2 linked regions of the Rattus norvegicus genome follow. The protein of the gene in region 1 interacts with the protein of each later gene in a pairwise test. Links are inferred from orthologs where the notes say so. Each region holds a gene or a part of one and is shown in the gene's direction. Other genes may lie near its edges.

Region 1 (5,906 bases):
TCATCCATACCTTATGCTGTCACTAATAGGCTAAGCTCAGGAACCTCTCTTCTATAAAGGGTTTTTGTTTGGGGGGTTTTTGTTGTTGTTGTTGTTGTTGTTGTTGTTGGGTTTGATTTTGGTTTTTTGAGACAGTGTTTGTTTGTGTAGTCTTGACTGACCTGGAACTTGCTCTGTAGACCAGGTTGGCCTGGTCATACAGATCCACCTGCCTCTGTCTCCCAAGTTGAATTAAGGTCTCCACCATGCTCCAGCTTCTGTTGCCTTTATTAAAAGGAACTGGTCACCCAAAAATCCATCTCATCACACCTCTGTACTGATGAAACTGTACTCTGAAACTGATGAGAATATTTAATATTTAAAACAGTAGGACCCCAATATGTAGTCTGTGGAACCAAAGTCCTGGTGGCCAAGTCTCCAATTGTCATTGGAAGTAGAGGCACTCCAGTGGTATTGAGTCCTCAGTCTCTGGGGACTGAACTGAATTAGGAAGTGCCTAGCTGCAGTCTGCTGGAGTATCACTTGTTTGCTTGGTGTGTGGGAAACGTTTGAGGTCAGCCTGGGCTACACAGTGAGACCCTTAATAAGTAAGTTTAAGAACATTCCTGGTAAATCTTTAATATTTTTTGGCAAAGGTTTTGAGATGGCTTGTTTAAGTAAAGGCAGGAAGACTGCTGTGTTGCAAAACCATGACTGCAAAGGGCAGAGTGAAACTCTTGGAAATATTGGAGCAACTCCTGTTACCAGACAGGGTGCTGGGACAGTTAGGGACAAAAGAAGCACAAGATGCAGTTCCTACTCTCAGGTTGCTCAGTCTGGTAAATGATTAGTTAATCATAATGCAGAAAGATAGAGGGACTAGAGAGCTTTTTTTTTCTTTTTTTTCTTCCGGAGCTGGGGACCGAACCCAGGGCCTTGAGATTGCTAGGCAAGTGCTCTACCACTGAGCTAAATCCCCAACCCCGCTAGAGAGCTTTAATCCCAGAACTGGGGAAGCACCTGGATCTATACAATGAGGCCCTGTCTCCAGAGGGAAAAAAATGGAAGGAAAGACAGACACAAAACAATAGGAAAGCACAGTAGCATAGTGTTAAATTCCTCTATAATCTCAGAAGTCTAGAGGGTGAGTCTAGAGGGTAGCAAGTTGAAGAGCAGTTTGGGCTACCTCATTAGACCTTGTTAAACAAAAATTAGGAAGGATTCTTAGGAAACCATGTGCTGGAGGTTGGCTTCTGTATAAAGTATAGGAAGACAGAAACCTGCAGCTTATCAGCTTTGTTTAAAAAAAAAAAAAAAAAAAAAAAAAAAGCTCTGTTTTTAAGTCTAGACAAGCATTTGTCCTTGCCATAGTCAAGGGGTTTTTTACCCTTCCACCCATAAGGATGTAATGATTGAATGACTCTATAAATCATTGAAAAGTCTATATGCTAAGCAAAGGAATATCATAGCTGAATCGTGATAATTAAATTCCGACTTTGATTTCCTGTAGCTTTTTACCTGCGCCTACCCAGCTATCTCAGGACCAACTTGAAGCTGAAGAAAGGGCAAGATCTCAGAGATCACGACAGACCTCCCTGGTCTCCTCTCGAAGGGAGCCTCCCCCATACGGATACAGGAAAGGCTGGATTCCAAGACTCTTAGAGGTAACTGGGCTGAAGTGTACTACTGTACACTTGGAAGGTCAGTTTGAACCCTGGAGGGTGGTGGTTACAGCCATGCAGTGCTCCTTTGAGAAAGTGTGTTCTTCCTTGCAACGACTTTCTTCTTACTGTCATGGTCAGTGATCACTCTTCTCATTCTTGTTGTGCTGAACTACTCAACGTGTACAGGAGCCAGCTTACCTTTACAAGTGTAAGCCTTACAGCACATGAGCAATAATGGGAAAGGGCAATACAAATACACGAGCGGGCAGGTGGCCCGTTTGCTGCACAAACCTGACATTTTGAATTTGATTCCATAGTGAAAAGAGAATGTGTTCCCAAAACTTTTTTCTTACAAGCACTGTGGCGTGGGCATGTGCTTTTTCTCTCTCTACCTCCCCTCCCTCTCTTTCTCTGTCACACATACACTAGTAATAATAAAATAAAAATCTGAACTCTTTGTAAGGAGAAGAATCAGAGTGGGTTTGCATTTGAGTTGTGTTCATCCTATCCCACCGTCAGTGATGAAAATAATGCCATGTCACAACTCCGAAGAGATGCCTTCTCCAGGGAAGCCCCGGTAGTGTCTCTTGTCAGTGCTTTTTAAATCTCCAGTTTGCGAATGTTAGCACATACCTGTCATGATGTTACACACATACATTTTTAGGAAATGAAAGCTAAGCTTTGGTTGATTTGGTGGAGCAAAGATCTTTCTGTACCTCCGATTTGTCTCCAAAGAAGTAATTTCCTTAGCAACCCATATTTTCCTGATTACACAGAATCCTGTGAGCATTTCACATATTTGCCCATCTTCCTTACCTGGAGAGAAAAGTAAACATCTGAGACTTAACCTATCTGGGCTGAAGAGATAGCTCAGCAGCTAATAGACTTTTATATATTATGTTTGTATTAAATGATCTTCCCTTTGCCTGGATATGGTGGTGCATTCCTATAGTCCAAGCACCCAGGAGGCAGAAGCAAGTAGATTGTGAGTTTGAGGTCAGCCAGGGTTATACAGGGAAACTGTCTCGAAAAATAAAGATCAGCATGAGAGATTAAAGAGATTAAGTTATTTTACATGTCTGGGTGTTTTGCCTGCATATACATCTGTGTACCACATTCATGCAGGGCCCTTGGAGATCAGAATCGGGCCTTGCAGTGGGTGTTAAAAGTGGGTCCTAGGAACCAATTTGAGTTCTCCACAAAGAGCAGCCGGTGCTCTTAAACACCGAGCCAACTCTCCAGTCATGTGTAGCGCTTTCTTACCTGGTTATGACGTCTGCCTCATACATAAGGTCTCTGCCTGTTTTCAGTCTGCCTCCAGGTGTGCTGCTAGTATCTTTGAATAGAAACATTGCTCAGCGTCTTGCCTAAAGCCTTCTGCACTGTCTCTTCCTCGTTCGCTGCCTCTGTCCACTCTGTCAGGTCAAGAAACTGAGCACCTAACAAGGCCCACCCTGCCTTGCTGTAACATAGCCTAGGGTTTTGTTGGGTTTTGTACTGTGAAACCTGTCTTGATGTTGTTAGGGATTTTGGTTTTATTCCGTCTGGAATTAGTGAGGTACATGACAAGATAGGAAGGCATTCCAGCCTCCTAGATAAGCTATTCCTGTCTGCAGCCAAAAGGTAGTGATGGCAGGCATTATATAATTGTACTTAGTGTCCTTTCCAAGAGGTTATAGATGGGGCATGGGGGTTGGGGGGGGTTCCCTGGATTAAAGAGTGGGGACCGCAGGCTTCATTTTTCATACAAAAGCTTTTGAGCTTTCTGACATCTGGTGGCTGTTAGCTTTTCTAGTCTTAATTGATTATCAAAGTTTTATATATGCTGGTGGATCAGAGCAGTTCATTTGGAAATCAAACTTGAGTGGCCAGCTAATCTGAAAATGCCAGGGTGCTTTGCGGGGAGTGGCTGTCCTCTGAAGAAGGCATTTTGTTGTAGTTTTCACAGTAAAAGCTGTGATTTTTCTGGCAGGGTTAACGACCACATAATGCTACAGCTACAGTTGTGAAGTGCTGATTACAGTCGAAGAGCTCAGTGACTCTGAGCATGTGTCAGATTGATGGTCTGAGTACAGGAAGGCACTTTTCTTAGGAAGGCTTTATTTCTGCCTAATTTACAAGAATATAGCTTTTTCACTTGATTCGTTCGTTTTCAAAAACCTCAACCGTATCCAGTAAATAAGCATATTGTGGCTAGAAATTCACATCCAAGATTTAACAAAATATTCTGTTTTAAAAACTTATAAAAACGAGTTCGGTCCCCAGCCCCGGAAAAAAAAAAAAAAAAAAAAACTTATAAAAACGAGTTTATTTTTCAGTAAATATCCTCTTGTTGATGAATTTCACTTTTTCTAACATTCTTGGTAATGGGAATTGAGTATAATAGATTATATAAATAATCTATTTAGGACCTAAAGTTGTTCAAACTTCAGAGTTTTGGGGGTTTTTTGTTTTGGTTTGGTTTTGTTTTGGTTTTTTAGTTTTAAATCAACAAAGTCTATGTAAATCAACAAAGACTGTGTTGATTTAAAACTATTAGGGAGCCAGACATGGTGGTGTATGCCTTCAGTCCCAGCACGCATGCACGCATGCATGCATGCACACACTCATACACACACACTCACTCTCTCTCTCTCTCTCTCTCTCTCTCTCCCTCTCTCTCTCTCTCTCTCTCTTTCCCTCTAGCTTACAAAAAAAGAAAAAGAAAATGCTTCCCTTATGTCTGGGTTTGGGTTTTGTTGCTGTGAAAAGACACTGGGATCAAGGCCACTCTTATAAAGGAAAACATTTAATTGGGGCTGGCTTATGGTTTCAGAGGTTCAGTCCATTATGGTGGGAAGTATGGCAGTGTCCAGGCAGACATGGTGCTGGAGAAAGACCTGGGAGTTCTACATCTTGTTCCAAAGGCAGCAGCAGGAGACTGCGTGCCACACTGGATATTGCCTGAACATGTAAGGGACAGCAAAGTCTGTCCTCACAGTGATGTACTTCAACAAGGCCACGTCTCCTAATCGTGTCATTCCCTGTGGGCCGAGCATTCACACACACTGTCTCTTCCACCACAGCTTGGATCTTTCTCCTTTGCTTTTGTGGTTTTTTTTTTTTTTTTTGGTTCTTTTTTTCGGAGCTGGGGACCGAACCCAGGGCCTTGCGCTTCCTAGGCAAGCGCTCTACCACTGAGCTAAATCCCCAAACCCTGCTTTTGTGTTTTATTTCTTTAAAGGCCCCACAGCTGCTCCCCTGGAAGTAAGACGGTGCCTCTTCCCAGGACCTGCGTGATCCGCATGGTGCTCCTTACACTCAGTCTGTTTTTATACCTTTTCTCACTAAACATAGCCTGTTCAAGATGGAGACTTGCTTTTGTTTACTGCTGTCACTCATAGCAAGCATAGATTTGCTAGCTTGAATGAATTGCTACTCTACTAAACAGTCTTTGTACTTCTTTTCTTGAAATACACAGGATTTTGGAGATGGAGGCGCTTTCCCAGAAATCCATGTGGCCCAGTATCCTCTGGATATGGGGCGAAAGAAAAAAATGTCGAATGCACTGGCCATTCAGGTGGATCCTGAAGGGAAAATTAAATATGATGCAATTGCTCGACAGGGACAGTCCAAAGACAAGGTAATCTCTCATTGGTTTTGTTTGGTTTTCTTATTGATAAATATTTGTGATGTGTGTTACATCTTGTGAAAATGATAAACCACTTGCCGTTGTGGATTATGTAAAAGTAACAGTGGAGTTGGGGCTGGAGACATGGTTCAGTGGTTACAAACACTTGTTCTTGCAAAGGATCTGAGTTCAATTCCCAGCACTCACACGTAACTCCAGTTCCAGGGGATCTGATGCCTTCTTCTGACCTCCAGTGGAACTAGGCATGCACATGATACACATACATATGTGCAGGCAAAACATTCATACACATACAATAAAATAAATAGACCTTTGAAACTGTACCTGCAGTTCTGCGAAGCTTGGTAATCAAAGCTTGGTGCTCACTGCTCTCCCCTTTAAAACAGAGTCTCAGCATATAGCCCAGGCTGGCCTTGAGCTCAGACACTCCTTCCTTTACCCTCCCCATGCTGTGCTGTAGACCACACCCAACAGTGACAACTTTTGTACTTAGGTTTTTGTTTTGTATTCCAAAAAGTTATATGGTATTTCAGAAGTGCTGCCAAACTCTAAAAGGCAGTAATTGGTAGACTCTTAAAAAAAAATTAGTTTTGTTTTTGGTCTTGTTAGAGATGAAACCCAGGGCCTCAAGT
Region 2 (5,906 bases), on another chromosome or scaffold:
ACATTACTGTTCTGTGTTTCCCCTGCACAGCATCTTAAGAGGCCTGTGGCCTTCAGATGAACACACAAATGTGGTCAGAGCAATTCCTGTAGATGCTGAGGGGACAGTGCTAGTGAGGACAGAGCTGTGGGCCTGGGCAGGTGTGTCTGGGGAGGCCATCCAGTCATTAGGAGCAGGGAGGATTTGGGGGTTCTTTAGGGGATTTTACTTTAGGGAGCGTTGGTGGTGTGTGAAAACATCTTCACTTGTCACAGTGTGAGAAGGGTCTGCAGCCAGCGAGCAGAGGTCAGGAATTGGCTGAACCTACGACATTTAGGACAGCAGTGACAGTGGAGGATGATGTGGCTCTGAATGTGTAGGGCTGAGGCTCCTGGGTCCTGCGTTCAGTGCAGGCAGGACAGGGTGAGAGTTCCCACAGTCTGGTTTGTTGTGAGCCTTTTGGCCCTGAACTAGCCTCTCTCTGTGACAGTCTTCCCAACTCCTTACACAGGACTTGGAGGCAGAAACCAGCCCTCAGCAGCTTTATTGAGAGGGTAACCATCCCATCCAACACACTTAAAAATGCACTTCAGTCTTGCTTCTCATCCCTGTTCCTGATGTTCCATGGCCTCCCCAGACCAACAGCATGCCTGCTCCAGAACCCAGAGCAACGAGCCCAGTCTCACTGCTCTGCCCTCCCTAGCTCTGTCCCCTCAGCATCTCCATAGTCATAGGTGTGTGCACCATTCTATGGTTGTTTATCTTTTGCGGTGCTGAGGATTGAACCCAGGGCCTTGTATTCAGTGCCGGTCAAGCCCTCTCCGCTGATACACCCTCCCTGCCTTAGAGTATTTCATCATTCCAGAATGAGGCCTGTTTGGCAGTTACTCTCAAACCCCTCTTTAGCCCCACTAGTCTACTTTCCTGTTCTGGTCTTTCTTTTTTTTTTTTTTTTTGGTTCTTTTTTTCAGAGCTGGGGACCGAACTCAGGGCCTTGCGCTTCCTAGGCAAGCGCTCTACCACTGAGCTAAATCCCCAACCCCCTGGTCGGTCGGTCTGTCTGTCTGTCTGTCTTTCTTTCTTTCTTTCTCTCTTTCTTTCTTTCTTTCTTTTTTTTTCTTTCAGAGCTGGGGACCGAACCCAAGGCCCTGCGCTTGCTAGGCAAGTGCTCTACCACTGAGCTAAATCCCCAACCCCTGGTCTTTCTTATAGATGCAATCATACAGTGCACAGCTCTTTGCTGCTTCTTTGACTTAGCAGAATGTCTTTGCGCTCATTCGTGTTGTAGCAAGTGTCAAGACGTCATTCCGTAATGTGGCTTTCACAGACCATGTTTTGTTTATCCATTCCTTTGCCAATGGATACTTGGGCCGTGTCCACCAGGAACACTGGGAACACTGATGTGCAAGGTTCTGTGTGGGTGTGCTTTATTCTCTGGTGTAAACATAGGCAAACGAGCCCCAGTATTGCCCCACTTACCAGTTTACCACTCAGATGGCCCCATCTTGCAGATAGATCAAAGGGGTCAGAGTAAGGGCGTGAGCAAAGTCCTGAGTGAAGTGTATTGTTTGATGTTTGATGTGGGCATGGCTGTGTTAGGGACACCAGTGCCTTGCTCAGGTCCAGGAGAATGGCAAAGCCTTCCTAGTGAGGCTTAGAGGGATGGCAGTGTCTTCCTTTAGTCCAAATGTGACTGCTGACCATGTGCAGAGAATGTCTCTGCCTGATGTGTGTGGCCTGAAGACTGCTCCCCTCACAGATTGCTCCTACCTAGATTAGCTAAACCCTCCTCCTTGTTCAGCTGTATACTGTAACCCATCTCCCTGTCTCCCCATTCTCCCTTACTGCTTCAGCTGGGTGAGCACCTGAAGCCTGTGAGCTCAGCAGGGTTAGAGCAGGTCGGGTCATTTGCCTCAAGTCCCGCAGCTAAGAGAAGTAGAAGAGATCTGACTGAGGATTGTCTGCTGCTCTGCACAGACCCCATGGCCCTGGGCTTCTCTCCTCCACGCAGCCACATTGTAGCCCAAAGGGCTCCCAGCGTACCAGGCTGTGCTGAGCCCTCTGGGATACTTGGAAATACAATTGGTAGCCAGCTATAGAAGTAACCCACACAGCTCTTTTCTCTGCCCTGCAGATCAACCAGAATGTGGAGATTCAGCGTGGTCGCCTGCGAGATGACATCAAGGAGTACAAGTTCCGGGAGGCCCGTCTACTTCAGGACTACTCTGAGCTGGAGGAGGAGAACATTAGCCTGCAGAAACAAGTGTCTGTGCTCAGGCAGAACCAGGCGAGTCTCGAGAGTAGGGTTATCTCTAGGCATCTAAGTCCTTTCATCCACCCACCTTCCCCTTCTCTACCTCGGTCCACATATCTGAGGCCAGGACCAGTGGTAGTTCCACAGTGGAGACAGGGGAATAAAACACACAGCCCCTAGCACTGCAAGAGCATGAAACAAGGCCTGTGACTTTAGTATGACAATTTCCCAGGCCAAGTGTAGCCTTCCTGGGGAATCTGTTTCTGCTCAGCAAAGATAGGGTACTGATGGCATACCAGAAAAGCTACCTTGGGGAACCAGTGAAAATATTGAGCTTACTTACAGGAGCATGACTGAGGATAAATCATAGGAATATGGGTGAAGGGTTACTCACAGAGGCATAGGTGAGGAGTTATAGGGGCATAGGTGAGGGGTTACAGGGGCATAGGTGAGGGGTTACAGGGGCAGGTGAGGGTTTACAGGGGCATAGGCAAGGGGTTACAGGGGTATAGGCGAGGGTCTACAGGGGCATAGGTGAGGGGTTACAGAAGCATGGGTGAGGGGTTACAGGAGCATGGGTGAGGGGTTACAGGGGCATGGGTGAGGGGTTACAGGGGCATAGGTGAGGGGTTACTGGGGCATGGGTGAGGGGTTACAGGAGCATGGGTGAGGGGTTACAGGGGCATGGGTGAGGGGTTACTGGGGCATGGGTGAGGGGTTACAGGGGCATGGGTGAGGGGTTACAGGGGCATGGGTGAGGGGTTACTGGGGCATGGGTGAGGGGTTACAGGGGCATGGGTGAGGGGTTACTGGGGCATGGGTGAGGGGTTACAGGGGCATGGGTGAGGGGTTACAGGGGCATGGGTGAGGGGTTACAGGGGCATGGGTGAGGGGTTACAGGGGCATGGGTGAGGGGTTACTGGGGCATGGGTGAGGGGTTACAGGGGCATGGGTGAGGGGTTACAGGGGCATGGGTGAGGGGTTACTGGGGCATGGGTGAGGGGTTACAGGGGCATGGGTGAGGGGTTACAGGGGCATGGGTGAGGGGTTACTGGGGCATGGGTGAGGGGTTACAGGGGCATGGGTGAGGGGTTACAGGGGCATGGGTGAGGGGTTACTGGGGCATGGGTGAGGGGTTACAGGGGCATGGGTGAGGGGTTACAGGGGCATGGGTGAGGGGTTACAGGGGCATGGGTGAGGGGTTACAGGGGCATGGGTGAGGGGTTACTGGGGCATGGGTGAGGGGTTACAGGGGCATGGGTGAGGGGTTACAGGGGCATGGGTGAGGGGTTACTGGGGCATGGGTGAGGGGTTACAGGGGCATGGGTGAGGGGTTACAGGGGCATGGGTGAGGGGTTACAGGGGCATGGGTGAGGGGTTACAGGGGCATGGGTGAGGGGTTACAGGGGCATGGGTGAGGGGTTACAGGGGCATGGGTGAGGGGTTACTGGGGCATGGGTGAGGGGTTACAGGGGCATGGGTGAGGGGTTACTGGGGCATGGGTGAGGGGTTACAGGGGCATGGGTGAGGGGTTACAGGGGCATGGGTGAGGGGTTACTGGGGCATGGGTGAGGGGTTACAGGGGCATGGGTGAGGGGTTACAGGGGCATGGGTGAGGGGTTACAGGGGCATGGGTGAGGGGTTACAGGGGCATGGGTGAGGGGTTACAGGGGCATGGGTGAGGGGTTACAGGGGCATGGGTGAGGGGTTACTACATCACTAAGAACACTTCCATCTTGTCACGGGTGATGACCTCTAACAGTCGCTAGATGGAGTTCTCTCTTCATTTAACCTTCTGTTTCCTGTCTACTCTAGCAGCCTCTGAGATCCTTGGGCAAGATTGGGGGGAGGATACAGGAAGGGGGAATGGCTGGAATCTTGGGTGAGGGTCTAATGCACTTTACCCTTCCTTCTATGAGAGCACATATGTAGGCGTGGTCTTGTGAGGGTCTCCGAGCTGGGTAATCATGGCTGCTCTGATTTCGAGACAGCAAGGGCCATGTCATGCCTGGAGTTCAGTGTTCCACATCACTAAGGTATGGGGGAAACTCAGGTAGATGAACAGGGTGAACTAAAACCCCCAGAGACTTACCATGAAGCCTGAAATACTGCATGACTCTGCCTGTTGTAGGGATGGAGGGTGTCCCCTCTGCCTGTGGCAGGGGTTAGGGAGTCCTTCTGGATGGGTAAGGCTAAGAACCACACAGCACCTGGACATGTGCCCCATGCTCAGAGACACCCTAAGGTCTGCAGGTAGCAGGGAACTTCTTCCTTGTCAGGAAGTTCCGACTCTACCCTCAAGTGCCATGGATGCTTTTGTTAGAACCCTCTAGTACTCCATCATCTTCCTGCTGAGGCCTCGCCTTCAGGGACCCAGTATTTATCCCACCCATGCATGAGGAAGCCCATGCGTGTCTGTGTAAAAGTTTTCATGTTTGCACAGCAGTCAAGGGATGGATCCTGGTACTGGAAAACCACAGGAGCAGGACTCACAGTTCCATCCTGTAGCTCATAAGCATGAGGTGCCATTGGGCATTGATTGGCGCTTCTGCCCACATTGCCCTGAGGAGAAGAAAACTGACCCTCAAGGAGACCACCCTCACAGTGGTGCCATTCCCAGGCTGAGATTCCTCACCCCTATTTGAGGCACTGGAATGTGGGCACACTTATGATATTGTATCAAGTTTTCCTTCCCACCCCAAACCTGGAGAGAGTCATTCATTGCTTCCTTACTGTTAGAGTAAGATGTTTACTGTCTGCCCACAAACCCCGAGCCTCATGTTAAGCACCAACTCTCCATTTACTCCTCCTTCATCCACTCCTAAGTTGTGTCACATTAACAAGACATGTCACCTTGCAAGTCTCCCAAGCCTGCATTGTGCTGAGGCATTCAGCCCGAAGGGCAAGTCCAGTTTACTTGTTTTGAAATATGACTCAAAATAGTGGTGATAGCGCACAGGAAAGATATATTTTATGTGCCTTAAGATATCTAGTTATGGGTTGGGGATTTAGCTCAGTGGTAGAGCGCTTGCCTAGGAAGTGCAAGGCCCTGGGTTTGGTTCCCAGCTCCGAAAAAAAGAACAAAAAAAAAAAAAAAAAGATATCTGGTTATGTCTGGTGAAGTGGCTCAGTGGGTAAAGAAAGGCGTTTGCAGTGCGAGCCGAGTGACCTGAGCTCAGTTCCCATAGCTCATATACGTAAAGTGGAAGGAGAGAGCCTCCACCTACACACAGTTATGTGGGTACCTGCACACATACATCATGCACACATACATCATGCACACATACTTCATGCACACATACATCATGCATACATACATCATGCACACATACTTCATGCACACATACATCATGCACACATACTTCATGCACACATACATCATGCACACATACATCATGCACACATACATCATGTACACATACATCATGAACACATACTTCATGCACACATACATCATGCACACATACTTCATGCACACATACTTCATGCACACATACTTCTTGCACACATACTTCATGCACACATACATCATGCACACATACAACAGGCACACATAGTTCATGCACACATACATCATGCACACATACATCAGGCACACATACATCATGCACACATACTTCATGCACACATACTTCATGCACACATACTTCATGCACACATACTTCATGCACAC

Evidence for each region.
Region 2: the proteins of Snw1 (region 1) and Bicd2 interact in binary tests that used the Homo sapiens proteins (3 or more experiments, as listed by UniProt). The link is inferred for Rattus norvegicus from reciprocal best matches to the Homo sapiens genes SNW1 and BICD2.

What each region holds. Positions count from the first base shown.
Region 1 is NC_086024.1:112,842,812-112,848,717, reverse strand, and holds part of Snw1 (SNW domain-containing protein 1), read left to right. Parts: exon of another isoform or gene 1-1,489; coding exon 1,490-1,643; intron 1,644-5,103; coding exon 5,104-5,265; intron 5,266-5,906. UniProt on the Homo sapiens protein: Involved in pre-mRNA splicing as component of the spliceosome. As a component of the minor spliceosome, involved in the splicing of U12-type introns in pre-mRNAs.
Region 2 is NC_086035.1:15,475,704-15,481,609, reverse strand, and holds part of Bicd2 (protein bicaudal D homolog 2), read left to right. Parts: intron 1-2,113; coding exon 2,114-2,266; intron 2,267-5,906. UniProt on the Homo sapiens protein: Acts as an adapter protein linking the dynein motor complex to various cargos and converts dynein from a non-processive to a highly processive motor in the presence of dynactin.